Callithrix jacchus: one gene and its partners. The protein of the gene in region 2 interacts with the protein of the main gene of each other region in a pairwise test. Links are inferred from orthologs where the notes say so. Each region holds a gene or a part of one and is shown on either strand. Other genes may lie near its edges. The genes, in order: ZBTB16, LDOC1, TNNT1, LENG1, PEG10, CTNNBL1 and RAB29.

Region 1 (4,313 bases), on a different chromosome or scaffold from region 2:
AATGCCAGAGGCAAGCATGGATATGTGATTCTAGGTGAGTCCTGCGGAAAACCTTTGGCCCACCCACGAGTCATGGACGGAAGCTTAGGCCTGGGTGATGTAAGCTCCACCTTGCTAAAACCGCGTGACCTCGAGGGCTGACTAGCCTGAGACCCCTGCATGGTGTTCTCGGCCACCCCCACCTCCCACCCCAACCTCCTAGGCTTCAGTCAGAATCCACAGCCAGTGCCTCTGGCCCCCTATCTTCACTCAGCTCCAGAGAAAAGCGGGGACAGCAGCTTTCTGCGGTCAGAGGAAGGGTACATTTTCTTTTTTTATTTTCCAAAAAATTTTTTCCCCTTTTTTTACCTTCACATGAGCAGAGGAAGGAAAGGTACATTTTCTTTGGCTGCTCTACCCTCTAAAGTAGGGCGGCCAGCTGAGAGGAGGACGCGCTTCTGAGGGGCCCAGAGCTTTTCCAAGCTTTCCCCTGCCCCCTGAAGACTGTGTGCTGAGCTGGGGGCAGTTCTAGAGAACTGTTTCCACCCAGATTGCTCTGTATGTGTGTGTGTGTGTGTGGGGGGGGGGGGGGGGCAGAGCTGAGAGGTTGTCCAAGACTAGGAGAGATAAAAGTTTCTCAGGACTCGACCTTGGCCTCCAGCAACCGCGACATCTAAAAAGGGGCGTGTCGCTTCGACAGTAGATCCCAGCGGACCTTATGGCACCAGGTTCACCAGGGCCCGCGAATTCTGCATCTGGAGACTTCTTGAAATCCGGATGCTCAAGCCGGGAGGCGCGCAGTAGCCAGAAGGATGGGAAGCCCAGGCTTGGGCTAGGAAAGCGGCCTTTTAAAACTGATGTCAGGGGCCCCTGGGAACGCAGCCCCGAGCCAAGAGGAAGAAAGTTAAAGGCGAGATGACACGCACTGAATTGGGCAAAGATTGGAAAAGGGGACAAAACTGCGTGCTTGAGCATCGGAGTGCGGGGGAGGGGGCACAAACCCGTATCCGATAGAAATTAAAATCCTGGGAGTAGGTGGGGGCTGCTGCGCGCCCTTCACCCTCGGTGCCCCCATTAAGGGTTCCGAGTTCCCTGCACTCCTGTCCTCTAGCTCCCTGCTTTCTCTCTCCTCGGCCGGTGAGCGGCGGCCGCCGGCGCCCCAGCAGCAGCTAGATGTCAGGCGAAGCCCGGAGCGCGGAGCGCGGGGAAGGGAGGGGAGGGGAAAGGAGGGGTGGGGCGGGGAGCGCGCGCGGGCTTGGCCAGTGCGGGGTGGTGGGCGGGCTGAGCCCGGGGACGGCGCGGGAGGGGGGAGGGAAGGGGGGCAGCTGTGGGCAGGGAGCCGGGCTCGGCCGCCAGCACTAAAGATGGAGAGGCGCCGGGGCCTTGCAGGGGAGGGGGCTCGGCGTTGACGTGGGACGCGGCGGAGGCGCAGCAGCCGGTGGTGATTTGCTAACCTCGCAGCAGAGAGGAGTTGAGGGCGATGAGAGCGGGTACTGCGAACTGCCGGGCGATGCCGTCGCTGCCGCCGTGATACGGAGAGCAACAGTTCCCCAGCAACACCCCTCCCCGACACAGGCACACACCCCCCGACAGGCACGCACACCCACCCCACAGTGCCCGGCTCGGCTGCGGTGAGTGAGGGGCCGGGGAGAGGCGCACCGCCCAGCGAACGCCGCGCGCCGAGCCCCCCCGGGGCTGGAGAGGTCTGGGGGGCGCGCGCTCGCTTCGGCCACTCGGCCGCTGGGCTTGTGCCTTTTTTATTTGGCGTGTTCCCTTACTGCCGCTGCAGCCGTCGCCACCACCGGTTGGGGATCGGCTGGAAGGGGGAGCCCCGGCTGTCAGCCTGGGCGCAGCTGCCTCCGCAGCCCTTCCTCTCCGGGGCACGGTCGGGGTGAGAGGTGGGGGGCGTAGCGGTCTGCGGGGGCTGAGGGCGTGAGCAGAGGGTCGGGGATCTGGAGGCTTTGTACTGCCAGGGGCGGGCAGAGGAGCAGAGCCCGTGGGTGCTCTTATGTTTGCCGACCGGTGCGCGGGCGCGAGATAAGGTTGTGGTTTATTTATTTGTGTGTTTATTCGCCGGCCGGCTGGGAAGCTAGAATTGGAGAAGCTGACGAGTAGATGCGGGGGCGGAGGAGAGCAGGACTGGGACGGCTTACGTTTTGTTTCTCTTTGAAAAAACGTGGTGGGCTTTTTCTTGATTAGACTTGATCCCCCTTTTGCAGGGGAGGGAGGGAAGCTCCAGAGGGTTTCCAGCGCTCCGGGCCCTCCTCGGCTCTCGGCGGGACGGGCGGTGACGCCGGAGCTCGCCGTGCGCTCCCGGCCGCTCTCGGTGGGTGCCAGGCTCTGCACCTGATGCGTTCGGGATGCCTTTCCCACCCTGGCGCGCCCGCCGCTCGCTCGCACAGCGCCTCGCACACTCCCGCACGCGCTGGAAATGCGCACGGTCCCGCCGGCCCGCGGACCCACCGAGACGCACAGAGCGCTCCGCACCGACTCGCTCGCCGGCTCCCGAGCCGCTCGCACCGAGCCTGGGCCGGGCGCGCCGGCCGCTAGCGCTGTTGGCCCGAGGCCCGGGACCCAGCCGGTCCCTCCTGGGGGTCACGGCCTTGGGTCGGAGAGGGAGGGCCGGCAGACCCCTTCTCGCCTTTCCTCCCACAACTCGCTGCGGGGCTTTTGTGCTTCCCCTTCGCCGCGGGGCGGGTCCGCCTCCTGCCGCCGCGTAGTCCTGCCCGCCCGGGCTGTGGCTTTTCCTCCCCGTCTCTTTCGCTTTCCCCTGCCCCTAGTTCAGCTCTCCTTCTTTCAGGTGTCTAGCTCTTCGGGAAAAGTTGCTTCCCCAAGTTTGCTGAAGTCGTTTCCAACTCTCGGTGGGGGTCGCTGGGAACTGGGGGCGTGTGAGAGCGCAGTCGATCCTGAGGCTCTGGCGGGTTAGCGCCGGCTCTCCCTGCGCCGCCCGGCTGGACGCTGCAGCCAGCTCCGGCCAGATCGCAGGCGCTGAGCGGTGGGTGGGGAAGACGGCTGCCTGAGGGTGCCCCGATTTCCCTCAGGACCCAAACGGCTTGTTCTGGGGCGCCAAGCATCCATTCTTTTGGCTGCTCTCTCCTAGTTTTCAGAAGTCCCGATGTCTGCGGGAAAGCACGAGGTGGAGAGGCTCGGCTGAATGGTCATCCCACCCTTGGCGGCCTCCATCCCCACCCCGGGGTGGGCAGCAAAAGTGTCTTGATCAGGCGTCCTGTGAATCCTTTCTGTGTGAGCGTGGAGGCTCCTGAACTGATAGAGCTCCTTCTGGGGGTGGAGGCAAGTAAGCAGTGTTTGAAGAGTGAGGGAGAGACCTTGCTGTTCCTTGCTCCCAGTTCATTCACTGCAATATTGGCCGCTGCAAGGCAGACACGGGGAGGGCCCTGGGCCTGGGCGGTCTTTCTAACACTCCTTAAGCGGGATTCGGAGTACAGGAGCCCTCTTATTGATCCTGAACAGGCTCAGGGAGAGGCCTTTGTTTCCCAGCCCTGTCTTCCCTTCGTACTGGTTATAACTCACACCACAGATGCTGGTGCCAATACCACGTCCGGAGCCTCTGAGCCATGGCCAGCATCCCTTGCTGCCCCTGGTCACAGGACTTGCAGACTCCTTGGAGCCTGTGGGACACACGTGGAGTTCACACACCCAGCCCAGCATGAGCACTCCTGGCTGTAGGGGCGCATATTTACTACCGGCTCTCTCCATACCTTAATGACTCATCCTTCTTTGTTTTTTAGATCCTCCTGTCCACTGCTCAGTTATGGGTAGGAGGGTAGGTACAGCACCTTATGTAAGTGTGTGTGTACACCCACTTTTTTTTTTTTTTTTTGAGATAGAGTTTCACTCTTTTTGCCCAGGCTGGAGTGCAATGGCGTGATCTTGGCTCACCACAACCTCCACCTCCCAGTTTAAGTGATTCTACTGCCTCAGTCACCTGAATAGCTGGGATTACAAGTGTTAGCTACCATACCCAGCTAATTTTGGATTTTTAGTAGAGATGGAATTTCTCCATGTCGGTCAGGCTGGTCTCGAACTCCCGACATCAAGTGATTCACCCACCTCGGTCTTTCAAAGTGCTGAACTTAAAGGCGTGAGCCACTGCCGCCCAGCCCCACACATCTTTCTCTTTGTCTCTGGCTGATGTACATATACGCATACAAACAGTCCAGATTTTAGATTACATATTCAATAACTTTGAGTCTTCCGTGGATAGAAATGACCCAAGTTAGTGTGTGGGTTGTGTGTGTGTTCCTGTTAGTACCCTGAGATGGGGGCAAGGCTTGGGTCTGCCAGTGCTTTATAACCCTCAGAACAGTAGAAGG
Region 2 (3,710 bases):
AGAAATATTTGTTAAGATCAGGGTTTATCTTTATGGGTACACGTGCCCAGGATCCAGGATTTAATGTTAGCTGGAGCATCTGAGAGTGACATAAAAGCAATATACTATGTTGGCTATTTGGAGCCTGAACTCAGCAGCTACACATAGGCAATAAGGATTAAGGGGCAGAACTTCCCTGGTACAGTGTTAAGGAATCTGAAAGCTCAGATAATTGGGAGCATTACATCTCTCTCTCTCTCTCTCCCCCCTCTTCCAGGTTTATGACTGTTGTTATGGTCTAATTATTAATACTGCCTCTTTGCCATCTGCTCAGCCAAGCCTTACCCATGCCATTCTGGAGGAACCAGAGGACATACCCTTTGCCAGGGCTTTATGAAATACATTGGTGAAGGGAACATCAGAACACTGACAGAGCCCTGAGGTAGCTGTCGCCAACAGCCTGGAGATGACAGCGGGGAACCCTGATTTCCATGGGAATAATGGTAGACAGAGTGACAGTGTTGGAGGCCAGTGACAGCACTTAACCATTAAAAGACAATCATTTCTTTTTTTTGTAGTGCTTGATATTTATTGAAAATAATGCCAATGCTTTTTCCAGGTAGTATTGAGGAGCTGGGCTGAGTGCTTGCTTTGTTCTTAGTATTATTTGTCCAAATGCACACATCTGGGGGACTGCTGCAATTTTGAAAGTAAAGTGACAGCTGTGTAAAACCAATGCATAGGAAAAAAGAAATGTCAACAATTTGGCTGCCAGGCACACCAAGCCCCTGCAGCAATCTGGTGGGGCATGGGAGGACCCTCAGAGTGGGTAGAAAACTAACCAGGCTGAATGATTGGCCCCTTCATGGGTTGGTGAGCTGTCCGAATCAATGTCCGAAGAGGTATAGCCAACTCTGGCATCTTCCAGGTTGGTCCTTACTTCGAAAGGCGGTAGTATGTAGGTGGGATGTGGTGAGTGGATGTGAAGTGGCAGCATAGTTCTCTGGGCAGATGTAAGCCTGGCAGTAGGGTAGGTGGCAGCAGCAGGGCTATGGGTGGTATGACCAATTTATAATGGGGGCATGGCCAATAACTGGGGCTCAGGACACAGTTCGGATTAGCAGGGGAGGGATTCAGGGGCTGGCCAGGGTAGATGACACTTCCAAGCATTTCCGAGTGAGTGAGGCTTCAGCCCCAACCCCAGCAGCAGGTAAATGGAGCACTATTCCTGGAACAAAGACAAGCACTACGGAGAAACGAAGAGAGAGAACTGAAGGGCGCGAGTAGGGAAGGGGACCAGAGGGCAAGGCGGAGAACAGTGGCTCCCGGCGGGGTGAGGGCTGGAGAGAGGGGGTGGCGGCGTGCAGGGCCCTCCCCGCTAGGCCTGAGGGTCTAAGGCCTAGTAATCATCCTCTTCGTCGTCGTCGTCGTCTTCATCGTCATCCCAGCCAAAGCACTGTTTCATCTCATCGAGGAAGGCCCGGTAATCACCTAGGATGGGGCTATCCATCTCGATGTAGGGCACCACCCACTCCTCGGCTTCCCCGGTGAGGAGGCTGATTAGGAATGCCACCTTCATGGCGTCGTTGCAGAATCGGTTCTCGTTCACGAGCATGTAAGACGCCGTCTGCACGATAAACTCGGGGAGCCGGGAACTCTCGCCATTAAACGTTTCGGGGAAGGGCACCGGGCAGCTTGGCGGACGTACCTGGCGCAGCAGGCTGGCCCTCTCGCACACCAGCAGCCGCAGCTGTTCCATGAGCTGGCTGTTCTCGATGCTCAGGGCGCGGTGCCGCATCAGGAGCGCATGCAGCAGCAGCACCAGCTCATCCACCATGGCGAACGGCTTGGAAGTACAGGGCTCGGCTCGGTGCGGCTCGGTGCGGCTCGGCTCGGACAAGGTGCGTACGGAGGCCTCGCAGGAAGTGCTTGTCCACCAAGGCGCGCGAGGGCCAGGGGCGGGGGGCGGGGGGGCGGTGCGGTGCGCGCCGGAGTCCGGGAGGCTACGCAAGCCCCGCCCACGCGGCCTTTCGGACGGACGGTGCGCCGGCGCGGCGCGGGAGGGGCGTGGCCAGGCGAGGGGCCGCGGAAGCGTGGGGGCGTGGCCGGGATGGGAAGAGTGTAGACACACAGGGCTTGGCTAGGACTAGGATGCGCTGGGTTGCTGAACCACCGGCTTGTCGTAGCCCTCTAGGCGGGCAGTTAAAGGCTGCGGTCGGCTGTCAGAGCTCCTGGATGTGGGGCCTGAATTAGCAGAGGACCTGGCGAGCGCTGAATCCGGTCTCAGAGAAGGTACACTTGTTCAAGCTGAAAAGATTAACCACTCTTCTACCTAGCCAACTCGCACAACTCAGTGTTCCTTCGTGGGTCTGTGGCCACTAAATTCTCTTGGCGCGATGTTTTATTAACACATTTTCTTTCTTGTTTAAATCTCACTTAGCGAAGTATTGACACTGCTGGCTGCACTGTGGAAGTCACACTTCCTTTCAGGGTCATGAAGACCCTCAGGGGGTCCTGCCTTTCATGAAAAAGGCAGTATTTAAACAGTGACTTATTTAATTGGGAAATAATATGATATACCTACCTTAAAAAAAAAAAAAACCTAAATAGCAAGATATAAAAAGTTCTGCAAAATCAGCATCCGATAACCAATTGCAGGCATCCCACACATTTTATTCTCTATTTCTTGTTCTGCTACTAGTGCCATTGGCCACTGGGTATTATTCTCTACTTAAAAATGAACTGTGAAGATGTGAGTGTTTATAAATAATTTTCTTTTTCTACTTTAAATGGATCTCTGATCCTAGAGCTATCATGAATTATTGGCTCTGCTTTCAAATATATTGCCAATTCAATCATGTCTTGCCATTTCTACCACTGCCACCCTGATCCCCACCCAGCCTTTCTTTCTCACACACTGCTGCAACTAATCACTTAGCTTTCGCTTTTTTCTACCTATAGTATATTCTCCATAAAGTAGCCACGGGAATCATTTAAAACAAAAATTAGATCCCTTCACTCCCTTGCTCAAAATCATCCAAGTTTCATCTCAGAATAAAGAGCAAAGTTGCAGCCAAGGTCTACAAAGCCCTTCCTTCTATCCTATGCCTCTTCCCATTTTCTGCTATGCTCTAATCACTGTCCTTGCTGATTCTCACACACGTCAAGTAGTTCTGGCTTTGTAGCCTTTGCACCTTCTACCCCTTCTGCCTTGCAAGACTTGTCCCAGTTGGCTGCCTGACTCCTTCACCTACTGCTTTCAAAGAGAACTTTTCTGGCCACCGGACCTATCAGAGAACCCTGTTCTCTGCCACCAATCTCTAACCCTTGACTCTGCTTCATTTATCTACATAACATTTACTGTGCTACTGGCCAACATGTCAAATAGCACTTTGCTCATCATCTGCTTCTATTTTGCAATATATGTGTCAAAGAAACACTGCCTTTGCTACCTGCTGTATCCCTAATGCCTAGAAAAATTCTGGCCCAGAGCCAAGGCTTCATTAATGTTTGGCAAGTAAAATAAGCTCAGAGTGCTGATGCTGAAAAAAAAAATTAGAAGTTGTGGCTGCACAAAGTGTCAAAAAATACTCTTCAAGTCGTTCAGTGTAAGGCTGGGCACAGTGGCTTATGCCTGTAATCCTAGCACTTTGGGAGGCCGAGGTGGGCGGATCACCTGAGGTCAGGAGTTCAAGACCAGCCTGACCAACACGGCGAAACCCTGTCTCTAC
Region 3 (4,503 bases), on a different chromosome or scaffold from region 2:
ACGCCCCACCCGCGCCCAGCGCCGCACTCACTCCTCATATTCCTGCTCCTCGGTGTCCGACATCCTGCTGCCACCTAAGAGAGAAGAGCCTGGTGGGGTGGGAGCCCAAGGAGGGGGCGGCCTGGACTCCTGGGTCTGAGGGAGGAGGGGCTGCGGCCTGGACTCCTGGGTCTGAGGGGGGAGGCGCTGGGGGCCTGGACTCCTGGGTCTGAGGGAGGAGGGGCTGGGGTCTGGACACCTGGGTCCGAGGGAGGAGGGGCTGCGGCCTGGACTCCTGCGTCTGAGGGAGGAGGGGCTGGGGTCTGGACCCCTGGGTCCGAGGGAGGAGGGACTGGGGTCTGCACTCCTGGGTCCGAGGAGGGAGAGGCTGGAGTCTGCACTCCTGGGTCTGAGGGGGGAGAGGCTGGGGTCTGGACTCCTGGGTCCGAGGGAGGAGGCGCTGAGGGTCTGGACTCCTGGGTCTGAGGGAGGAGGGGCTGGGGTCTGGACTCCTGGGTCCGAGGGAGGAGGGGCTGGGGTCTGGATTCCTGGGTCCGAGGGAGGAGGGGCTGGGGTCTGGACCCCTGGGTCCCAGGGAGGAGGCGCTGAGGGTCTGGACTCCTGGGTCCGAGGGAGGAGGGACTGGGGTCTGGACTCCTGGGTCCGAGGGAGGAGGAGCTGGGCTCTGGATTCCTGGGTCCGAGGGAGGAGGGGCTGGGGTCTGCACTCCTGGGTCTGAGGGAGGAGGGGCTGCGGCCTGGACTCCTGGGTCCGAGGGAGGAGGGGCTGGGATCTGCACTCCTGGGTCCGAGTGGGGAGGGGCTGGGGTCTGCACTCCTGGCTCCGAGGCGGGAGAGGCTGGGGTCTGCACTCCTGGGTCCGAGGGGGGAGAGGCTGGGGTCTGCACTCCTGGCTCCGAGGCGGGAGAGGCTGGGGTCTGCACTCCTGGGTCCGAGGCGGGAGAGGCTGGGGTCTGCACTCCTGGGTCCGAGGGGGAGGGGCTGGGGTCTGCACTCCTGGGTCCGAGGGGGAGGGGCTGGGGTCTGCACTCCTGGGTCCGAGGCGGGAGAGGCTGGGGTCTGCACTCCTGGGTCCGAGGGGGGAGGGGCTGGGGTCTGCACTCCTGGGTCCGAGGGGGGAGGGGCTGGGGTCTGGACTCCTGGGTCCGAGGCGGGAGGGGCTGGGGTCTGGACTCCTGGCTCCGAGGGGGGAGGGGCTGGGGTCTGCACTCCTGGGTCCGAAGGGGGAGAGGCTGGGGTCTGCACTCCTGGGTCCGAGGCGGGAGAGGCTGGGGTCTGCACTCCTGGGTCCGAGGGGGAGGGGCTGGGGTCTGCACTCCTGGGTCCGAGGGGGAGGGGCTGGGGTCTGCACTCCTGGGTCCGAGGCGGGAGAGGCTGGGGTCTGCACTCCTGGGTCCGAGGGGGGAGGGGCTGGGGTCTGCACTCCTGGGTCCGAGGGGGGAGGGGCTGGGGTCTGGACTCCTGGGTCCGAGGCGGGAGGGGCTGGGGTCTGGACTCCTGGCTCCGAGGGGGGAGGGGCTGGGGTCTGCACTCCTGGGTCCGAGGCGGGAGAGGCTGGGGTCTGGACTCCTGGGTCCGAGGGGGGAGGGGCTGGAGTCTGCACTCCTGGGTCCGAAGGGGGAGAGGCTGGGGTCTGCACTCCTGGGTCCGAGGCGGGAGAGGCTGGGGTCTGCACTCCTGGGTCCGAGGGGGGAGGGGCTGGGGTCTGCACTCCTGGCTCCGAGGCGGGAGAGGCCGGGGTCTGGACTCCTGGCTGTCTCAGGAGGACAGGCCCTGGTAGGTGTGGTCTGAGGCACAGCCCGGAGGCTGCAGACCCTGCCCCCCTCAGCACAGCTGTTCTCTTTTGTCTTATGACAAGCCCATGGGAACCTGATCCAGCTGGGATTAGGAGGAGGCATTTGAGAAGGGACAGTGGCCTGAAGACAATAGCTGCCCCACCCCCAGGAGCTATTTTGGGGGGATGTCGTAGATGGTGAAACAGAGGACATTTCCTAAGAAGGGATTTGAGGAAGGGGGGCTTCTGGGAGAGCTGGTCACCTGCATCCCTCTCCCACCCACCCCTCCCGCTGGCTGCTTTCCTCCCCACCTGTCTCCCCTTTCACCTTCCCATACATCACACGGGGCGGGGGGGTTGGGGCAGCGCCCAAAGGGCACCTTCTGTCCACAGACCTCACTCTGACCCCTACATTCTTAGACCCCGAAGTCTTCAAGACATCCTAGGCCACAGGGTGCCCATCCCCAAATCCCAATACCCATGGATTCTGAGACCTGGATTTTTGGTGCCTGTGTTTCTGAGACCACAAGTCCTCACAGCTCCAGATTCTGACAGCCCATTTCCTGATGGTCCACATATGGGCCAGGACATCCTAAGACCTCCTAAATTCTGAAGCCTCGAGAATATGAGACCCCCCCAAAACCTTGATACCCAAACTCGGAGGCCCAAATGATGACGCCCCAGATAATGACACTCCAGGTGGTGATGGTTTCTATCCTAAACCTCAGATTCTGAGGCTTCCACTCCTAAAACCCCAGATTCTGAGACCCCGCCCCAATTCCTGATACCCTCAGAGTCTGAGCCCCAAATCCTGATACCCAGACTGTTTGACCTCCAAGTCCAGATGTCCCTGACTTCTGAGCTTTCCCCCAAGACCCCCAGAACCCCAAGATCTAGGTGGTTTTATTCTGGGACACCCAAGTCCTGGCAGCCCCAGACTAGGATCTCTGTAACCCACAAATCCTAATATTTTCCCCTCTATCCCAAGTCCCCCTAAAGTCCGAGCCTCTCAAGTTCCGAGACCTCCAGTTGTATTCCCCATGTACCTCTGCATGATTTCTCCACACCCCACATCTTCCCCACCTGCCTCCTGCCCCCTCTCCCAAGGACACCGTCCGTGGAGATCACAGGGCCCAGCAGAGCCCCTTACCTATACCTAGGCTGCGTCTGAGATCCTGTGAATCTTGTGGCTGAGCCTCACCACGGGCACTGAAGCTCCAGGGGTTTTATAGCTGGAGGCTGGGCCCCGCCCCGAGGGGAGAGGGAGGAGGAGAGAATTCCTTTGCTCAAACACAAGTCTGGGAGCTCAGAGACAGCCCTGCTGTTCCTCTCGTTTTTCAAACTAAGGGTCCAAATGCCTCCGTGGGCTCCTCCCCAACCCCATCAGCGGGGCCCTGGAGCCCTGCTCCCACCCCCAGCCCCAGGCCCCCACGGTGCTCCAGCTACCTCCCTTATAGCTGCCTCCCTGCATTTGATGTCCCAACGTCCAGCACACAGTAGGTCCTTGGAGAACCTACTAATGACAAAAAGGCTATAAGGAATGTTTCCAGTTTTCCTCTCTGTTCCCTCTTTCTGGACCCGTTTCTGTGGTCTCTGTGGCTCTCCATCTGTGTATCTCTATATGTCTGTCTCTGCTGCTTAGTCTCCCCCTGTGTCTGTCCATCTTTCTGTCTCCCCACCCCCACCCCTTTGTCTGCCACCAGGATTCCATACTTGTGACAACAGGCACTAAAGCCAGGAAGCAGGTGTTGGGGGGAGGGGAGGGGAGGATGGGGTGTCAATTAGGGTGGAAACCTACCCTCTCTCCCCCCGTCCATCTGACACTGATCTTTTTTGGCATCCCCCTCCCTCTTCCCAGCCAAGCCACGACCTTGAACTCCAGGTTCAACCAGCCCTGGAGAGCAGACTTCCTCACCCTTCACGCCTCTCAGTGTCTGTCTCCTGTGGTATCAGTCTTTGTGTGTTTCTATGCATTTTCTGGGGTCCCTCGCTGGCTCTCTGTCTTGGGCTGTCTCTGAATCTGTCTCTTTCCGTGACCCTCAGTGTGTTTCTTGGCAAATGTCTCCAGGTGGTTTTGTCTCTGCATGTCTGCCCCTCTCTGCGTTTGTGTCTGTGGGGGCTCACAGTCTCTCTGTGCATTTCTGTCCACCTGAGACCCCATATCTGTGTGGGTAACCCCTTTCTGGGCACCAAGGAAGGAGAGCTAAGCAGACCCCCGGCACGATTAGTGCCTGAAGAATATCTTACTGCTCACTCCTCACTTATTTCCTTTTATATATAATCTCTTCATAGATAATCATGCCTTAGTTTGTAGTTGGAGGAATGTCTAGAGCAGACACACTGCAGAGCATGAACTAGGGAAAAACAGCCACACCAGGACAAGAATCAATGACCCAGGCGGTAGAGCCCCTGCCTGAAAGGGCAAGCGCTACGTGGCAGGTCTGCCCAGGTGGCAGCGTTCGGGTATGGTAATGACACCCGCTGTATGGCAGGCTTGCAGCAAGAGTCACTCCTCCTGAAAGGGAGTTGTAGTATCTTGTGCAGAGTTCTTGTGGAAAGCTGGCCTCAGGCTGGCAATCCCTCCAACGTCCGAGGGCTTAAAACCCATCCATATAATCACGCCTAGGTGGCTGTACAGCCTGTCAGCGCTCTCGCCACTGTGCTGGCTCGGAGCATCCTCCTATAAAAATTCTTAGAAGTAGGGCCGGGCGCGGTGGCTCAAGCCTGTAA
Region 4 (4,538 bases), on a different chromosome or scaffold from region 2:
ACAGGCGGCGGGACAGTATCCTGGGGATAGAAGCCTGCTCTTACTCTCTAACCCAGTGGTTCTCAAACTCTTTGGTCCCAGGACCCCTTTATACTCTTAAAAAGGGGGTCCCAAGAGCGTTTGTTTCAATGGGTTCTGTTAATATCATGCAAATCAGAAGTGAAAACTAAGAAAACTTGGACATAAGTATCTGCCATTAGTCATCACAGTGAGGGTGTCTTCTCATCATGTAGCCTCTGGAAAGCTGCACTACCTGCCTGAGAATGAGTGTGAAAGGCAAACAGTGTTAGGAAAATAGGCTTGACACCACGGCACCCCCCGGAAAGGGAGTCAGGACCCCTAGGGCTCCCTGGACCACATGGTGAGAACCACTTTTCCACCCAGCCATCCCTTCACGGGGTCCCTGGCTGTTCCACCCAGAGCTCCTGCTGTGCCTGTGCCAGGCTGCTGCCAAGCCCTGAAGATCTGGGTCCTGCTCTGCCAGGGCAGGGTCCTCCTCCTCACCCCTTGGGTCGCTGTGTCTCAGAGCCATCCTTTTCCTTTCTGCTGTGATTGCCTTCATCACTGCTGTGCCGTCTCTTCTTCCCCAGATGCTTCTGCATCTCCCGCAGAGGGTCCAGGCGGCTCTTTATTTTCTCATCTGGGGCTGGGCCAGGCGGGGGACCCCCTCGCTCTGGTGGGAGCTGGTACCAAGGGGGTTGAGTCTGGGCCTCGGCTGCACTCTGGCCCAGGTATGTCAGGATGCCCAGAGCTTTCTCTTGTCTCTCCTGAGGGGTCAGGAAATAAAAGAGATGGGATATAATCTTTCAGGGTGTCAGGTTTATCTCCCTGACACAGGTATCTAAGGCCTATGGTGAAGCAGCTGTGCCAGGTGCTGGGGAGGGAAGAGACCAGCAGAGGCCAAGCTCCTGCCCTGGGGTGACGATAGCAGGGACAGTCACAGAAAGCAGAGGAAGGAGGGGATGGGGTGGAGCTGCCTGAATGTTCAGAGGCAGGCATCTTTGCAGGGAGCAAGCAAAGCAAGAGGACCCGTGGGTGGGGTCAGCAAGTCCAGAGACAGCAGGTGAGGAACAGGAGCTTTTACACTCGATCTTAGCCAAAAGGCAAGAAGTGATTGATTCACTTTTTTTTTTTTTTTTTTCCTGAGATTGAGTCTCACTCTTGCCACCCAGGCTAGAGTGCTGTGGCACGATCTCAGCTCACTGCAGCTTCCACCTCCTGGGTTCAAGCGATTCTCCTGCCTCAGCCTCTGGGACTAAAGGTGCATGCCACCATGCTCAGCTAACTTTTTTTGTATTTTTAGTAGAGATACCATGTTGACCAGGCTGGTCTTGAACTCCTGACCGCGGGTGATCTGCCCACCTCAGTTTCCCAAAATGCTGGGATTACAGGCATGAGCCACCACCAAGCTGATTTAGATTTTTAAAAGCTCATCAGGTTTGAGACCCCTCCAGTTTGGAGACCTGAGCAGTTCACCTAGCAGCTGGGGATCTCGAGCATCTACCTCCAAGCCCTGAGGGCACCCAAATGGCAACAGCCACCACTTCTGAGTGTGCTTTGGTATGGTTCTAAATTCTGAGTGTTCACTCTTGTTTAGCCTTAGTCACAACCAATGGCTAAAGTGTCCCTCCCCCCAGCTCCATTCATGTCTCTGATGAAGTAGATAAGGCCAGCTTACTTTCTCCTGTCGCTTTTCTTCCTCGTGCTCTTTATTGCCTCTGATCAGGCCTTTCCCCTCCTCCAGCAGCTCTCGAAACAGGTCCACAGGGCCAGAACTTGGGGCTCCCACCTCTGCTGCCTCAAGCTCAGGCAGTGAGTTCTGATGTCTGGCTTTCTTCCGTAGGAATTCTGTACGGGCCTGGGGAGAAAGTTACAGGCAAGACATTAAAAACCTAAAGGTAATTCAAGAACTTTTAAGTCTGGTGCGCACCACAGGAAACAGCAGTCCAGGGTGCTGGGTTTGTAAGAAAGGGGGCACCTGTCCTAGCAGGGGTGAGGGTAGGCAGATAAGGCAACACCTGGGTTTTGTAAACTGCCTTTCAAATAGTAAACCACACATCAAGGATGGCTGGGAGGAGGTCCCTGGCCTAAACCAAAGGGGTTCCTAACCTCAAGTGAGACAATTAAAACAGCTATAAAGGTAGAACAAACTGCATTAGGTCAGATGATCTGGATTCCAGGCATGGCTCCAAGTCATTACCCCAAGTCCATTGATGAAGCCCGGTCTCCCACCTTCAGGACAAAGCTCTCAGCAGCCTACTGAGATTCTAAAAACCCAGACTACCTCCCTCCCAGTGTGGAGGATCAGACTGGCTAAGGAACTGAAAGTTAGGTGTACACCAAACAGATTTAAGGAGCTATACATAAAGCCCATGTTTGTGTGTGTGTCTGGGGGTGGTGCAGGGAAAGGGCTCGCCCAAGGGGGTGGAGACTTCCCCTCCCTTGACGCCATCTCACTTCGTGCCACGGAGATGACAATGCCTCTTTAAGAAAGAACGGTGCTTAAGGGGGATTCTGGAAGTCAGGCGTTCTGCATGCAGTTAGCATACAGTAACTGCTCAATAAATAGACTGTGCAAGCCAACTAGAAAGTGATCCGAATTTCCTCAAACTGTCCAAGGAATCCTGAATTCGGTAAACATTTATGCTTCTCTTTTGTGCTAGACACTGCTCTAGCCATGTGAAATACATCAGTGGGGGGAAACAAGACGAGGGGGCGATCAAGGGAGATTTCATGCAAGTGGGCACAACGTTTGCCGAGCAACGTTTCGGAAAAGAGGTCCGCGCCGGGTCACGAATTACATACGGGGCACACGGCGCCTGCGCAACGCGTCCACTTCCGGCCCCCTACCATGGCGCCTGCGCGCTGGGCCCCGGAGTTCCGCCCGGCCGGTTCCCAGGCTTACCTCCTGCTGAGCCAGCAGCACCCTCCGCTCACGCTCCTTCTCTTCCTCCCGGGCCTGGGCCTCGTCACGCCGCACGCGGGCAACATTGTCCTTGTTCCGGACGTGCCAGCTCTTCTTGGGCAAGATATTCATGGCGTCGTAGCAGTCCACGGACTGGCACGCCCGCCTCTCTGCACTTCCGATTGGCGAGAGAATGCCCCTTCCCTCTTGTCCCTACTTCGACCACAGATTGGTTCTTAACTCATTGGTACGGCCCCCTGGCCTGTAACGACAGGTGATTGGCTAAGACGCCCTTTATCTCAGCGAATGCCAGGCTTTTGGCGCGTGGTATCCCCTAGCAACCGCTTTTCACATATCCGAGCCAATCGCAAGTTGGCCCTCCCCTAATGCCAGATTCGGCCGCCGATTGGCCAACACAACCATCAAGTCTCCTTGCGGAAGAGCACTTCGAACGGCCACACATTCCCATGCATTTGATTGGCTCCCGCCCTGATGTAGCCCTGCCCCCACCTTCAGGACGCAGATTTCAAAGCGCGCTCAGTCACCTCGGCTGTGTTTATTCATAGAAGAAAGATCACCCGAGAGTCTGGGACGTGGCGGCGAGGGTCTCTGGAAACCTCCAGATCCTAGAGCTGGAAGAGCGTGGGGTCTTCTCTAGTTCTCCTAGTTTTACAGATGTGACCTAGGCTTACAATTGGCCTGGAGTCTGAAGGTGGGACATGGGCTGCAGGGGTCAAAAAGCCGGGTGGGTGGAGCTCAGCGCCACAGCGCGCCGTGCGAGGAAGACTTTGTTCTGCGCCTCCTGAGGCAAAGAGAGGTGGAGGTCAGACAGCCCTCTCCCCCAATGCCTTTCAATGTCCCCCACGGGGTCCCTCTCAGGGACCCGCCTGGCTCACCGTCTCTCTCTGACGTTTGAGCTGAGAGATGAGACGACCGTAGGAGTTAGCCAGAGCCACAGTGTACGCCATCAGGATGCTGGAGGAGACACGAACAGAAGCCACTCCTGACACGCTCCTCCATTCTATACAAACCCCTGGCTCCTTCAAAGCCAGGATGTCATCTACAAGGACTTCAGTCTCCCAGCCCAGGAGTCCTAAGTCCCACCCTCCTCCTCCTCCTCCTTTGGACCCTAGGCCTCCTCCCACCCCGAGCCTCTCCTCTCTCCGACGCAGGTGGTGGCCCCCAGATCACGTGCATTCAAACCCAGACCCAGAAGTCTGGGCAAACTCACCTGGAAATCAGCAGAAGGGGTACAGCAAAAGCCTGAGTCCCCAGGAAGAAGAGGAAGTTCTGGGCGGTCTCAGGGAGGCTGGAAATAGACTCAGGGATCTGGGCCCAGATGGACGACTGCCCCCGGAATGGACCACATAGCTTAGAAGGTGGGATCCTGAAGTCAAGATAGGCTGGGCTCACGTAGAGCCAGGAGTCTGAACGCTGAACGCAGGGAGAGGGAGGGAAAGAGGCAGGAGCCTCTCGCACTTACAGGAAGATGCTGTAAAGCAGAGGAACGCTGGAGATGGCCAGACCCAGGAGAAGGACCAGGGGGAAAAAGAAATTCGCTGTGGAGGCCCGGAACGTGCGGGCAGCCGGAGAGCAGGTGAAGAAGAGGGTGAGCTGGCAGGGGAAGGCACAG
Region 5 (3,816 bases), on a different chromosome or scaffold from region 2:
TTGATTTGGTATCCATGTTTGCCTTGAAGTTTCTTTGCCTTGAAGTTCTGTTTCAATAGGAAACTACTTGTTTAGAGGCCTTAACATTCTCTTATAGTTTATAAAGGTAAGCATGCTGTTGATAATATATTATTGAATCATAATCAACAGGTGGTCTTTGAGAAGGACAAGGTCATTTGAACATCAAAAAGTAGTTTGCTTTTTGTATGGTGCTGATTGATAACTTCCCTTTGAGAGTTTGTTTTTGTTTGTTTGCTAATTATTAAAGTAAGCACATAGAACAAGGGATAATATAAATATCAAATCCTTTGTGTCTACATTTTGCTGCTTTGAAGGTATAAGTTAGATTTATATGTTTATCTTTATTTACAGAAATAAGCGCGTTTTGAAAACAAAAAAAAGAAGGAGTGGAAGAGGGGGCCAGGATCCAGGCCTCCATCCCCACAGAAGTGAAGTTACAGCTGGGAGGTCTCCTCCCACCCCAACCGTCACCCTGGGTCCCGACTGCCCACCTCCTCCTCCTCCCCCTCCCCCCAACAACAACAACAACAACAACTCCAAGCACACTGGCCATAAGAGTGCGTGTGTCCCCAACATGACCGAACGAAGGAGAGATGAGCTCTCTGAAGAGATCAACAACTTAAGAGAGAAGGTCATCAAGCAGTCTGAGGAGAACAACAATCTGCAGAACCAGGTGCAGAAGCTCACAGAGGAGAACACTACCCTTCGAGAGCAGGTAGAACCCACCCCAGAGGATGAGGATGATGACATCGAGCTCCGCGGTGCTGCAGCAGCTGCTGCCCCACCCCCTGCAATAGAGGAAGAGTGCCCAGAAGACCTCCCAGAGAAGTTTGATGGCAACCCAGACATGCTGGCTCCTTTTATGTCCCAGTGCCAGGTCTTCATGGAAAAGAGCACCAGAGATTTCTCAGTTGATCGTGTCCGTGTCTGCTTCGTGACAAGCATGATGACCGGCCGTGCTGCACGTTGGGCCTCAGCAAAGCTGGAGCGCTCTCACTACTTGATGCACAACTACCCGGCTTTCATGATGGAAATGAAACATGTCTTTGAAGACCCTCAGAGGCGAGAGGCTGCCAAACGCAAGATCAGACGACTGCGCCAAGGTATGGGGTCTGTCATCGACTACTCTAATGCTTTCCAGATGATTGCCCAGGACCTGGATTGGAACGAACCTGCACTGATTGACCAGTACCACGAGGGCCTCAGTGACCACATTCAGGAGGAGCTCTCCCACCTCGAGGTCGCCAAGTCGCTGTCTGCTCTGATAGGTCAGTGCATTCACATTGAGAGAAGGCTGGCCAGGGCTGCTGCAGCTCGCAAGCCACGCTCACCACCCCGGGCGCTGGTGTTGCCTCACATTGCAAGCCACCACCAGGTAGATCCAACTGAGCCGGTGGGAGGTGCCCGCATGCGCCTGACCCAGGAAGAAAAAGAAAGACGCAGAAAGCTGAACCTCTGCCTCTACTGTGGAACAGGAGGTCACTATGCTGACAACTGTCCTGCCAAGGCCTCGAAGTCTTCACCGGCGGGAAACTCCCCGGCCCCGCTGTAGAGGGACCTTCAGCGACCGGGCCAGAAATAATAAGGTCCCCACAAGATGATGCCTCATCTCCACACTTGCAAGTGATGCTCCAGATTCATCTTCCGGGCAGACACACCCTGTTTGTCCGAGCCATGATCGATTCTGGTGCTTCTGGCAACTTCATTGATCATGAATACGTTGCTCAAAATGGAATTCCTCTAAGAATCAAGGACTGGCCAATACTTGTGGAAGCAATTGATGGGCGCCCCATAGCATCGGGCCCAGTTGTCCACGAAACTCATGACCTGATAGTTGACCTGGGAGATCACCGTGAGGTGCTGTCATTTGATGTGACTCAGTCTCCATTCTTCCCTGTCGTCCTGGGGGTTCGCTGGCTGAGCACACATGATCCCAACATCACCTGGAGCACTCGATCCATCGTCTTTGATTCTGAATACTGCCGCTACCACTGCCGGATGTATTCTCCAATACCACCATCGCTCCCACCACCGGCACCACAACCACCACTCTATTATCCAGTAGATGGATACAGAGTTTACCAACCAGTGAGGTATTACTATGTCCAGAATGTGTACACTCCAGTAGATGAGCACGTCTACCCAGATCACCGCCTGGTTGACCCTCACATAGAAATGATACCTGGAGCACACAGTATTCCTAGCGGACATGTGTACTCACTGTCTGAATCTGATATGGCAGCTCTTCGAGATTTTGTGGCAAGAAATGTAAAGGATGGGCTAATTACTCCAACAGTTGCACCTAATGGAGCCCAAATTCTCCAGGTGAAGAGGGGGTGGAAACTGCAAGTTTCTTATGATTGCCGAGCTCCAAACAATATTACTATCCAGAATCAGTATCCTCGCCTATCTATTCCAAATTTAGAAGACCAAGCACACCTGGCAACGTACACTGAATTTGTACCTCAAATACCTGGATACCAAACATACCCCACATATGCCGCGTACCCGACTTACCCAGTAGGATTCGCCTGGTACCCAGTGGGACGAGACGGACAAGGAAGATCACTGTATGTACCTGTTATGATCACTTGGAATCCACACTGGTACCGCCAGCCTCCGGTGCCACAGTACCCGCCGCCACAGCCGCCGCCTCCACCACCACCGCCACCGCCGCCTCCATCTTACAGTACCCTGTAAATACTTGTCATGTCCTTCAGGATCTCTGCCCTCAAAATTTATTCCTTTTCAGCTTCTTAATCAGTGACTGTGTGCTAAATTTTAGGCTACTGTATCTTCAAGCCACCTGAGGCACATCCTCTCTGAAACGGCTACAGAAGGTCAGCGCCACCCTGGACTGGCACACATCCTAAAGCACCAAAAGACTTTCAACATTTTCTGAGAGCAGCAGAGTATTTGCCAACGAATTATCTCTCAGTTTTCCACCTTGACTACCAATCTAAAATAATTAATAAGTTTACTTTCCAGGCAGTCCTGGAAGTCTGGGTTTTACTTACTAAAACCTCTATCATCATCTAAATTATAGGCTGCCAATTTTCTTGTTTAACATTTACAGAGAAGCTGATACAAATGCTGATTTCTTCATGGAGGGGGAGACAAGGAGGAGGAGGTGGAGGAGGACATGACTTTTCTTGCAGTTTCAGTACTCTCTTTACATCACTAGAGGACCGAGTCCTTATTAAGGAAGCCAAAACTATTGGTGCAGTGTGGAAAGGCTTCCGTGATCATCCTGCTGCACCCTTAGAAACTTCACCATCTTCAAACTCCATTTCCATGGTTCTGTTAATTCTCAAGGAGCAGCAACTCAACTGGTTCTCCCAGGGGCAGGCAAAACCCTTGCTACATGAAACACCTCAGGCCCTCTCAGATGGACTCTTGTATGTTAAGAGTGTGCCATCACATCGTGGTGCAAATCGCATGTACCCAAGGACTCTGGCTTTGACACACACCTTACCATCATCATGCCATAATGGCTTCCACAAAGCATTAAACCTGATAACCAGAGATTACTGGTGGTTCCAGGGGTGTTAGAGGTTTGTGAAATGTGACCACCTCTCAATCACCTTCGAAGGCTAAAGAGTGGCAGATCAAAAGGACTCCAAAATCCCTTACCCACCTTTTAAGAGACTTGTCCTGGTACTTCAGAAAGAATTTTCATGAGTGTTGTTAGTTGACTGGAAAACCACCAGCTGACGTTTTGGAAGTATCTATCCATGTGTCTGCCTCCATATGCATCTGGGCATTCCATCTTCAGTCCCTTCATTAGACTGTAGT
Region 6 (3,816 bases), on a different chromosome or scaffold from region 2:
AAAAATTTGTCCTGGGGAAGGAATCAAGACCCCTTAACATTTTTCTCATTTCTCCTATTTCTCCATAGGCAAAGATGCCTTTCGATGCCAACAAACTGTATTGCAGTGAAGTGCTGGCCATATTGCTCCAGGACAATGATGGTGAGGCGCCCTCTCAGTATTGATATTCTGTTAGGATAGGAGCCAGGCTTGTTTCAGATCATGACAGCAAGCTCTCTTGCCTTTGGCATCCCCTTGCTCTCCCTCTCGCTCCCTGTGCTGCTTTTGTACTCTGTCAAGCTGTATTGATTTTGTTTGCTGATGTATCAGTGTTAGACGGCTGTAAAATCTGACAGTTAGGTTCATTTTTTTTCTTCCTCTGTTTTTTTCCCCCCTTTTAGAAAACAGGGAATTGCTTGGGGAGCTGGATGGAATCGATGTGCTTCTTCAGCAGTTATCCGTGAGTAATTCTTATGCTTCCTGTCTGCTGCAAGATATATGGCCTGCTTTGAATGGGAGGTGGAGCTGGAAATTGTGGGAAGGAATAAGCCATGTGCTGCAAGCCATATGGAGCATGTTGGCAGGTTTGAGGGTTATATGGAGGGATGTGGTTCGCCTCCTTTCCTTAGTCATTTGCTCTTTATGACCAGACATCACTGTGTACTGGATATGGACTCTCTTTGTCTTCTGATATGATATTGTCAATTCAAAAAAGATGTGCCTCCTGCTTAAGTGTGTGTGTTCTGGGCCAAGCATACCAAATTATTTTCATTTGACCCACTCCCAAGATTATTCACCAACTTTCCTTGCAATCTGCTGTGAAAACGGAGTATGTTCATTTAGGATCCAAATGAGCTCAAGGAGTACAAGTTCCACTGCAGTAGGGTGGGGGTCCAGGGGAGGATATAGGAGAGGATGTGATGCTGAAGGCTGGTGTGAGAACTTGGAAACTGCCATTTTCCAACTGTAAGAAATGTAAATCCAGTTGAAATGTTATTCTGCTGGCATTCTGAAAATACCATTAAGATTTCCTCTTACAAACTTCATCTGTGTTATTCTAAAAACAGGATCGAAAATAGATCACTTGGATAAAATCTTAAGAGTGTTGGGAGAGTCTGAGATGTCAGTTTGCATACAGCTTCCATCTTGGTGCCAGCAGCCTGAGTGGCTTGGCCTCCACCCCAAAAATAGAGCTTTGAAATGTGAATTTGTTTCCAATTCTGGGAATGTGCTTAGTCCTTTTCCTGTGAGATGATTGATCTTCTCATAGTAGATTGTATGGATATGCATCTATGGTTCAAAGGCTTCTGTTAACATGCCTTACATCTCTGGCAAAAGGAAAACTTCTGTAAGCCTTTCCCATGAATTAAAGCCCCAGCTCCCATGTAAGGGAATTGAATAGCCTTGATTGTCAGGAAATGCCTTCTTATATTGAGCCACAATTCACCCCTCTGGATTATGGTTGCTTCTAGAAGGGAAAAATATGAGACATGGTTGGGTTGGGCAAGTGGAGGGCTTTGAGGGTAGTTGGCAAAGTTATTTCTCATCCTGGATAATGGTTTTCGGGGTGTCCACTTTATTCATTTAGTTCTATATGTACTTTATGGATTTTTTCTGTATCTGTATTATATTTTACAATAAAAAGGTTTTGGGTTTTTTTTTGGTTTTGGTTTTTTAAAAAATCTGCTTGCCTGGAGCTGTCAATTACTGATGGACCCGGTGGTCAGTTGAGTGTTTTGGTGGGTTTTTTGCATTTATTTATTATATGTGAATCATTTCATTTCTCTAAAATGGAAACTGATGAGAATTTTGTTTGCTGAGCTTCTGTTTCCTCAACCATAGAGTTATGACCCACAGGTTTTAGAAATGGTTGGGTGGCGGCTCATGAAAAGACATTCTCTTACAGCTCTGTGCTTTGTGGTGTTTTGCTTGACAGGTGTTTAAAAGACACAATCCCAGCACAGCCGAGGAGCAGGAGATGATGGAGAATCTGTTTGATTCCCTTTGCTCCTGTCTAATGCTTAGTTCCAATCGTGAGCGCTTCCTGAAGGGCGAGGGTCTTCAGCTGATGAATCTCATGCTCAGGTATGTTTCGAATACCCTATTTCTCCCAATTTTTTTGCCTCACTTTAGCCTGAATTCAAGAGCATGTAGCTATGGTCATTTATTCTGTTGAGTTTCCTCGACTAAATCCTGAAGAGTAAAGACTTCAGGCATGGGGATGTGTTTATGTATGTATGTGGTCTTTCCTAAATGGGTTTTTTTTTTTAATCCTTCCCATAACGTGTTAGTTTTTGGGAAATCTAGCCATTACTTCTAAACTTGGAGCAATTTTCTGTATATATCACATAGACCTATCTATGCCATATGTTTGTCTGTATTTTTATTGAAAGCAATATATCCTTCATGTTTTTCATTCCTCATTCAGTAATGAGTTGTACATGTGCTGTATGCCTAGCATAGGAAATATGAAAATGTTTAAGATAGTTCTAGAACTTTCATTTATAGTACTTTCCTTATACATCTTATTATTTATAGGCTAATGCCTGAAAGTGGATATCATATTAGTTTCACAGTTATTTTATAGAATCCTAAAGTCAGAAGCAAAAAGGGGAGAGGAAGCTTATATTGATAACTCCTGAGACTCTGTCTAGGAAAGGGAGTAGAGAAGTGTATGGGGGAGGGCTGAGGGGATAACCAGAGTGTGGTGTAGGGTCAAGGGACTTTTTTTAAAAAAAATTGAGCATGTTTATATGGTTGGAAGATTCTAGTTATTATGAAATGGTGCCCTACAGAAGGAGCAGGACTGAGATTTAAAAAAAACAAGAAAGAAGTTGAGCCAGAGTCTGCTGTCTTAAAACTTCAAGCACACTGAGAGTTCTGTTGAACTAAGATATTTATTTGAAAAGGTTTTTCAGAAATGTGACATATATTTTCTAAACAGAATTTGGAATACAAACATACAAAACTTCTATGAAAACATCGATAAGGTACTTGCTAAGGGCTGGGCCTACACAGAAATATGTAAGACAGAATTTCTGTCTCCATGAAGTTAGAAAAACAGTTCTGTGACCCAAACACAGCCTGTCTTTGGGTATATGTTTTCTTCTAGTCTTTTTTCTATAATTTCTACCAATTTTTTAAGCCTGCCACACATACAATTTTCTATATGGCTATTTTGTAAACATCACATGCTGTTTCCCATGCTGTATATAATCTTCATGAATTTTCAGTAACTCCATAATGGCCTTTAAAGGGACTGTAGCTTAGTATTCTTCTGTTGTTGGCATTGAGGATATTTCCAATGTTTTGACGTTATAACAAATTCTACGACCATTTTTATGTTTAATGTTAGGGTTATCCAGGTATAGTAAGTCCTCACTTAACATCATTGATAACATTCTTGGAATCCACACCTTTAAGTGAAATGATATATAATGAAACCAATTTTTCTCATCAATGTTATCACGGTGTTATTTGAGGATCTGACCTGCTGTATCTTGTTTCACTTAAAATTGCAGTTTCTAAGTCTGTCTGTGATGTTAAGTGATGACTTACTGTGTATGTTTCTAAAATATCTTATATTTAAAAGGCTTCTGGAGGGCTGGAGGCACAATAGATCTCTTCATTTGTCCGGTGTGTACCAGACCTTGCATTGACCAAAAGTCTTCCTTTGAGTAGTTGCTTTTAAAAACATTTTTTTTTAAGTGCTAGAGGGACATGAGAAATTACTCAGAGGGCTTTTGTGTTTAGCTGATTTGTGCTAGCTTTGCTCTCTTGAGTCTTCTGTTTGTTTATCTCCCTTGCCCTTCTAATTGCTTGTCCTTTTATTGAAAT
Region 7 (4,482 bases), on a different chromosome or scaffold from region 2:
CTCTGTCTCAAAAACTTGAATAAATAAATAAAAGAGTATAAAGGGACATGTATAAAGGAAATAATAATGCTCAGAATCTGAAGTCTACATGGAGGGAAGAAATGATGAGTCCAGTGACAGAAATAGGGAAGCTGAGAAAAGGAGCTATTTTTGTGGTGATGTAATAAGAGGGAGGATGTGACCGGACATCCAGGTGAAGGCATCTTTTGGGAAGCTGAATATCACTGATCGAAGATAAAGAACAAATAAAGTGAAGATAGATCTTTCACACCAAGGACAATTCACTCAAGAGTTTGTAGAATGATTGTCTCAGAGACCAAGAATCAAGCTTTAGGAAACACTTAGAGGGAAATGGGATGGAGAGAAACCTCAGAGAAAAAGATAATCATCAGAGAAGTAGGAGGATGAAAAAGAAAGAACAGTGTCCTAGAAGGCATATGGGAAACAAATGTCAAGGAGTGGTCAGCTATGTCAAAGCAAATAGCAACAGAGAAAACTGGATCCTTAAAGGTGAGTAGCCTGGCCTAACCTCCTGTGCCTGGGCAACAAACATTCTGGGCAAAATATATTGTGGACCATGCTCATGCTCTTTCCCCACAGAACATAAGTGATAGCCTCTCTATCAAGAGACCTAAGCAAGACTCCATAGTGTCTGGTCCTGGGCTGTTCACATGGCCTTGCTGGTTCTCTTCCTCAATTCCTAGAAAAAGTATAGAAAATGGAACTCTCTTTGCTTGCCATTGAGCTCATGTCCTGCCAACTCCTACCTAAATGACAGGCAGGTCAGTAAAGTTACAGGCTGAGAAATTAGAATTATTTGTCAAACCCTAGTTTTATGATGATCTGTTAACAACAGCCACAACAAATCAGCGATTCCCAGTGTATTTCAATTAGCTTCTAGCTCAAATGATACATGAATAGCATGGTTAGAACAGGCATTGTAGAAGTATGAATGGGGACTGTCTTCTGTTTTCTGTCTATCTTTATTGTTATTGCTGGATATTAAATGCTGTAACTTTTGGCATAGGTTTTTCCAAGGAATGGTCTCTTGGGTCAAATTTCCCTGATCTTGCCTGGTATTGGGCACGTTCATACGGAAAATATGATTAATTTCACGAGGTCCTGGGCTTGTCTGTCTATTTGAAGGAATAGGAAATGGACTTCACTTGGAGCATTATCTATGATGCTTGGGCTTTTATTAATGAAATAAGTTTTAATCTTAACTACGCAAAACCTTTAAAGACAGGAGAAAACTGTCTGGGGACAGATTCAGGCCAGTGAGATCACGTTGCACAAATCTCTTAAGGGATCTTTACTGACCCAGAACCGTTTCAAAATAAGATTCCGAACTGTTGAAGGAGTTTGAAGCCCTGAAACATTGTGTAGGTTGGTTTAAAACAAAAAAAATGAATACACTACATTTCCTAGGAGGCTTCGCGGGTAAGCCTCTGCACTCGGCTAGTTCTCTCTACCGCGAGGATAGTTGGGAAATGTAGTGCTCCAGGCAACCCTGCACGTGACGCTTGCGGAGGAAGGCGAGAGAGGCGCGGGAGGGGGGTCAAGGGAATCAAGGTGCCGGCTGCTTTTTCCTCACAATTTGATTTGTGCAGCAAGGGGAGGGTCCTCATCATCTGGCCCCAGTGGTGTAATGAGCTGACTGGGATTCAGTTGCTGGCTTGGAGCCGCTCCGGGGAAGTCCCGGTGGGTGAGGTTCCGCAGCGCCTGGTCCCGTTTCTCGGCAGTCGGGTAGGGGGGTAGGGGGGAAGGTGCGAACAGCCGGGGCACGGAGCTCGCGCCCTGCGCCCCACCCAGGTTGTGGCTGCCCGGGGAGGAAGCGCACATAGGTTGAGTGCAAAGTTTCCTTTTTTGCTTTCTCGTCAGAGCAGCCCTCACAGGCGGTGGGTGGGAATGCCTCACTTCAGTTTGAAGAGGGTCCGGAGCCAAAGGGGTTAAAACAAGCTACTTCCCACTTTCCGCCTCTCTAAAACGCACACTCCGCTAGCCATGGGCAGCCGCGACCACCTGTTCAAAGTGCTGGTGGTGGGGGACGCCGCAGTGGGCAAGACGTCGCTGGTGCAGCGATATTCCCAGGACAGCTTCAGCAAACACTACAAGTCCACGGTGGGAGGTGAGACGTCTCTGGGGGGAGGAGTCGGAAGAGGCCCCGACCGCGGACTCGAGCTGGGGACCCAAGTGGGATGGGGATTTGCAGTCGGTTGTTGGGTCCTTCGGGCCAGGAAGTAGTGTCTGGGAATCTGGATGGAGTAATTGTTGGGTATTTGGTTTACACGCCTCTCTTGGGTTTCCCCAGTTCGATTTTCCTAACCTGAACCTACTGCCTGGAGAAAGGTAAGAGCTAAGGAGTGACGATGAGAATAGGGAAGGGAGGCTGAGGATGAGCAATTGCTGTTTATTGCGAGCTCACTGTGAACGCAAGTCTCCTGCCTCAGCCTTTCAGCTGTCAGGGGCAAATCTCTCCAGTCAGCAGAAGCAGCTGAGATCCTCTCCTCTGTAGGGCCTCCTGGTTAGCTGCAGTCTGGGGCTGTTGTCCTGCCCCTCTCTGTTGAGGAAGGAACCGCAAGGTGTTTAACCTGGCTTCTGGGGGAGAACGCAGGAAGCAGAAGTGGTCGGAAGAACTTTAGCTCAGTTATGGGGCTGTGGGTGGGATGGAAGACACAAAATCCCCAAACAGGCTCCTTGGCTACGCAGTCAGATGCCCGTGAGGGCTGATGAGCTGTTTTTGTCCGTTGATTGCTTAAATAAAGGTAACCAAGGAAGTCTTCGAAGAATGTGAAATATACCACTTCTCTGATCTATCTTCCCACCACTTTTCCCCTCAAACTGGAGAAGGTAGGGAGGAAGGGAACACCGTCATTTCTTTCTCGGGCGTAGCCTTTGGACTCAACTGTTTTTTCAGAGGTAGAATTGCCTTATTGTTAATTAGAAGGTATTTAGCTAGAAAGAGCTGGTGATGGGGGAAGAGTAACTTAAAATTTTATTTAGGCCTGGCGTGGTGGCTCAAGCCTGTAATCCCAGCACTTTGGGAGGCCAAGGCGGGTGGATCACGAGGTCAAGAGATCGAGACCATCCTGGTCAACATGGTGAAACCCGGCTCTACTAAACATACAAAAAAATTAGCTGGGCATGGTGGGGCGTGCCTGTAATCCCAGCTACTCAGGAGGCTGAGGCAGGAGAATTGCCTGAACCCAGGAGGCAGAGGTTGTGGTGAGCCGAGATCGCGCCATTGCACTCCAGCCTGGCTGCAAAACTCCAGCCTGAGAGCAAAACTCTGTCTCAAAAAAAAAAATTATCTCTGTTAAAATAACTTAAGGGGAGGAAACTTGTACTAATGGAAAAATTGAAAATGTGTGCTCGTGTTCATATGGAAGTTTAAAAAGAAATTAACAAGCATTTACATTGCAACTGAAACATTCTCCTTAAGAACCCCCAGCAGGGCTGGGCACAGTGGTTCACTCCTGTAATCTCAGTACTTTTGGAGGCCAAGGTGGGCAGATCATTTGAGGCTAGGAGTTCCAGACCAGACTGACCAACATGGTGAAACCCTATCTCTACTAAAAGTACAAAAAAATTAGTCGGGCATGGTGGCACACGCCTGTAATCCCAGCTACTTGGAGGCTGAGGCAAGAGAATCTCTTGAACCCGGGAGGCGGAGGTTGCAGTGAACCAAGATCGCACTACTGGACTCCAGTCTGGATGACAGAGCAAAGACTCTGTGTCAAAACAACAAAACAAAAAAACAGTAGGGCCCAGTGAGGTGGTTCATACTTGCAATCCCAGCACTTTAGGAGGCTGAGGCAGGTGGATTACTTGAGACCAGCCATGGGAAACATGGCAAGACCCCACCTCTACAAAAATTAAAGAAAAAAGTAACTGTAGTCCCAGCTACTCGAGAAACTGAGGCGAGAGGATTGCTTCAACTCAGGAGGTCAAGACTTCATTGAGCCCTGTTCACACCACTCACTGCACTGTAGCCTGGGCAACAGAGCAAGACACTGTCTCAAAAGCAAAAGAATAAAGAAATTTACGTCCGGCAAAATTAAAGATTTAACGTTTCAGACGCTCTATCTTGACCACTCAGCCCTCCCACTCCTAAATAACATAAGGTCCCGATTTCACAGATTTGAGTTAAAAGTGTCCTCCTATTAATAGTTAATTTTTAATAATTGCTATAGTTTTCCTTTAGCAAAGAACATAATTAACTCTGGCTAATTTTTTTTCAGTGTTTATTCTAAATTTCCCTTAGCTTTGATTCCTGTCACAGATGTGAAAGATAATGTTTCCAAACCTCAGTAATTACTGTTTCTCTCCTTATCCAAAAGCTTTCCCCGCAGAATACTCACCCAGCCTTAACTCAAGGAGTGTCAGCATTTGCAGACTTGGTGGTAGATTCAGCAACATCCATGCAGTGTCTTCATCCTGGGACTCCTCTGGGACCTTTTCCATTTATTCCATTCTTGCCCA

Evidence for each region.
Region 1: the proteins of LDOC1 (region 2) and ZBTB16 interact in binary tests that used the Homo sapiens proteins (3 or more experiments, as listed by UniProt). The two-hybrid records come from large-scale screens. The link is inferred for Callithrix jacchus from reciprocal best matches to the Homo sapiens genes LDOC1 and ZBTB16.
Region 3: the proteins of LDOC1 (region 2) and TNNT1 interact in binary tests that used the Homo sapiens proteins (3 or more experiments, as listed by UniProt). The two-hybrid records come from large-scale screens. The link is inferred for Callithrix jacchus from reciprocal best matches to the Homo sapiens genes LDOC1 and TNNT1.
Region 4: the proteins of LDOC1 (region 2) and LENG1 interact in binary tests that used the Homo sapiens proteins (3 or more experiments, as listed by UniProt). The two-hybrid records come from large-scale screens. The link is inferred for Callithrix jacchus from reciprocal best matches to the Homo sapiens genes LDOC1 and LENG1.
Region 5: the proteins of LDOC1 (region 2) and PEG10 interact in binary tests that used the Homo sapiens proteins (3 or more experiments, as listed by UniProt). The two-hybrid records come from large-scale screens. The link is inferred for Callithrix jacchus from reciprocal best matches to the Homo sapiens genes LDOC1 and PEG10.
Region 6: the proteins of LDOC1 (region 2) and CTNNBL1 interact in binary tests that used the Homo sapiens proteins (3 or more experiments, as listed by UniProt). The two-hybrid records come from large-scale screens. The link is inferred for Callithrix jacchus from reciprocal best matches to the Homo sapiens genes LDOC1 and CTNNBL1.
Region 7: the proteins of LDOC1 (region 2) and RAB29 interact in binary tests that used the Homo sapiens proteins (3 or more experiments, as listed by UniProt). The two-hybrid records come from large-scale screens. The link is inferred for Callithrix jacchus from reciprocal best matches to the Homo sapiens genes LDOC1 and RAB29.

What each region holds. Positions count from the first base shown.
Region 1 is NC_133511.1:13,736,475-13,740,787, forward strand, and holds the start of ZBTB16 (zinc finger and BTB domain-containing protein 16), read left to right. Parts: upstream 1-1,441; 5' UTR 1,442-1,610; intron 1,611-4,313. UniProt on the Homo sapiens protein: Acts as a transcriptional repressor. Transcriptional repression may be mediated through recruitment of histone deacetylases to target promoters. May play a role in myeloid maturation and in the development and/or maintenance of other differentiated tissues.
Region 2 is NC_133524.1:138,057,351-138,061,060, reverse strand, and holds LDOC1 (protein LDOC1), read right to left. Parts: upstream 1,947-3,710; 5' UTR 1,817-1,946; coding exon 1,379-1,816; 3' UTR 542-1,378; downstream 1-541. UniProt on the Homo sapiens protein: May have an important role in the development and/or progression of some cancers.
Region 3 is NC_133523.1:48,010,470-48,014,972, forward strand, and holds the start of TNNT1 (troponin T, slow skeletal muscle), read right to left. Parts: upstream 2,976-4,503; 5' UTR 2,924-2,975; intron 75-2,923; 5' UTR 64-74; coding exon 32-63; intron 1-31. UniProt on the Homo sapiens protein: Troponin T is the tropomyosin-binding subunit of troponin, the thin filament regulatory complex which confers calcium-sensitivity to striated muscle actomyosin ATPase activity.
Region 4 is NC_133523.1:47,340,211-47,344,748, forward strand, and holds the start of LENG1 (leukocyte receptor cluster member 1), read right to left. Parts: upstream 3,061-4,538; 5' UTR 3,038-3,060; coding exon 2,906-3,037; intron 1,859-2,905; coding exon 1,679-1,858; intron 768-1,678; coding exon 505-767; intron 1-504. Other genes in the region: voltage-gated chloride channel TMC4, read right to left, coding at 3,639-3,707, 3,802-3,880, 4,137-4,292, 4,389-4,519.
Region 5 is NC_133512.1:54,928,988-54,932,803, reverse strand, and holds part of PEG10 (retrotransposon-derived protein PEG10), read left to right. Parts: intron 1-372; coding exon 373-1,573; coding exon of another isoform or gene 1,574-2,721; 3' UTR 2,722-3,816.
Region 6 is NC_133506.1:33,214,983-33,218,798, forward strand, and holds part of CTNNBL1 (beta-catenin-like protein 1), read left to right. Parts: intron 1-68; coding exon 69-141; intron 142-380; coding exon 381-439; intron 440-1,915; coding exon 1,916-2,064; intron 2,065-3,816. UniProt on the Homo sapiens protein: Component of the PRP19-CDC5L complex that forms an integral part of the spliceosome and is required for activating pre-mRNA splicing.
Region 7 is NC_133520.1:33,292,899-33,297,380, reverse strand, and holds the start of RAB29 (ras-related protein Rab-7L1), read left to right. Parts: upstream 1-1,506; 5' UTR 1,507-1,572; exon of another isoform or gene 1,573-2,002; 5' UTR 2,003-2,004; coding exon 2,005-2,128; intron 2,129-2,141; exon of another isoform or gene 2,142-2,349; intron 2,350-4,482. UniProt on the Homo sapiens protein: The small GTPases Rab are key regulators in vesicle trafficking. Essential for maintaining the integrity of the endosome-trans-Golgi network structure.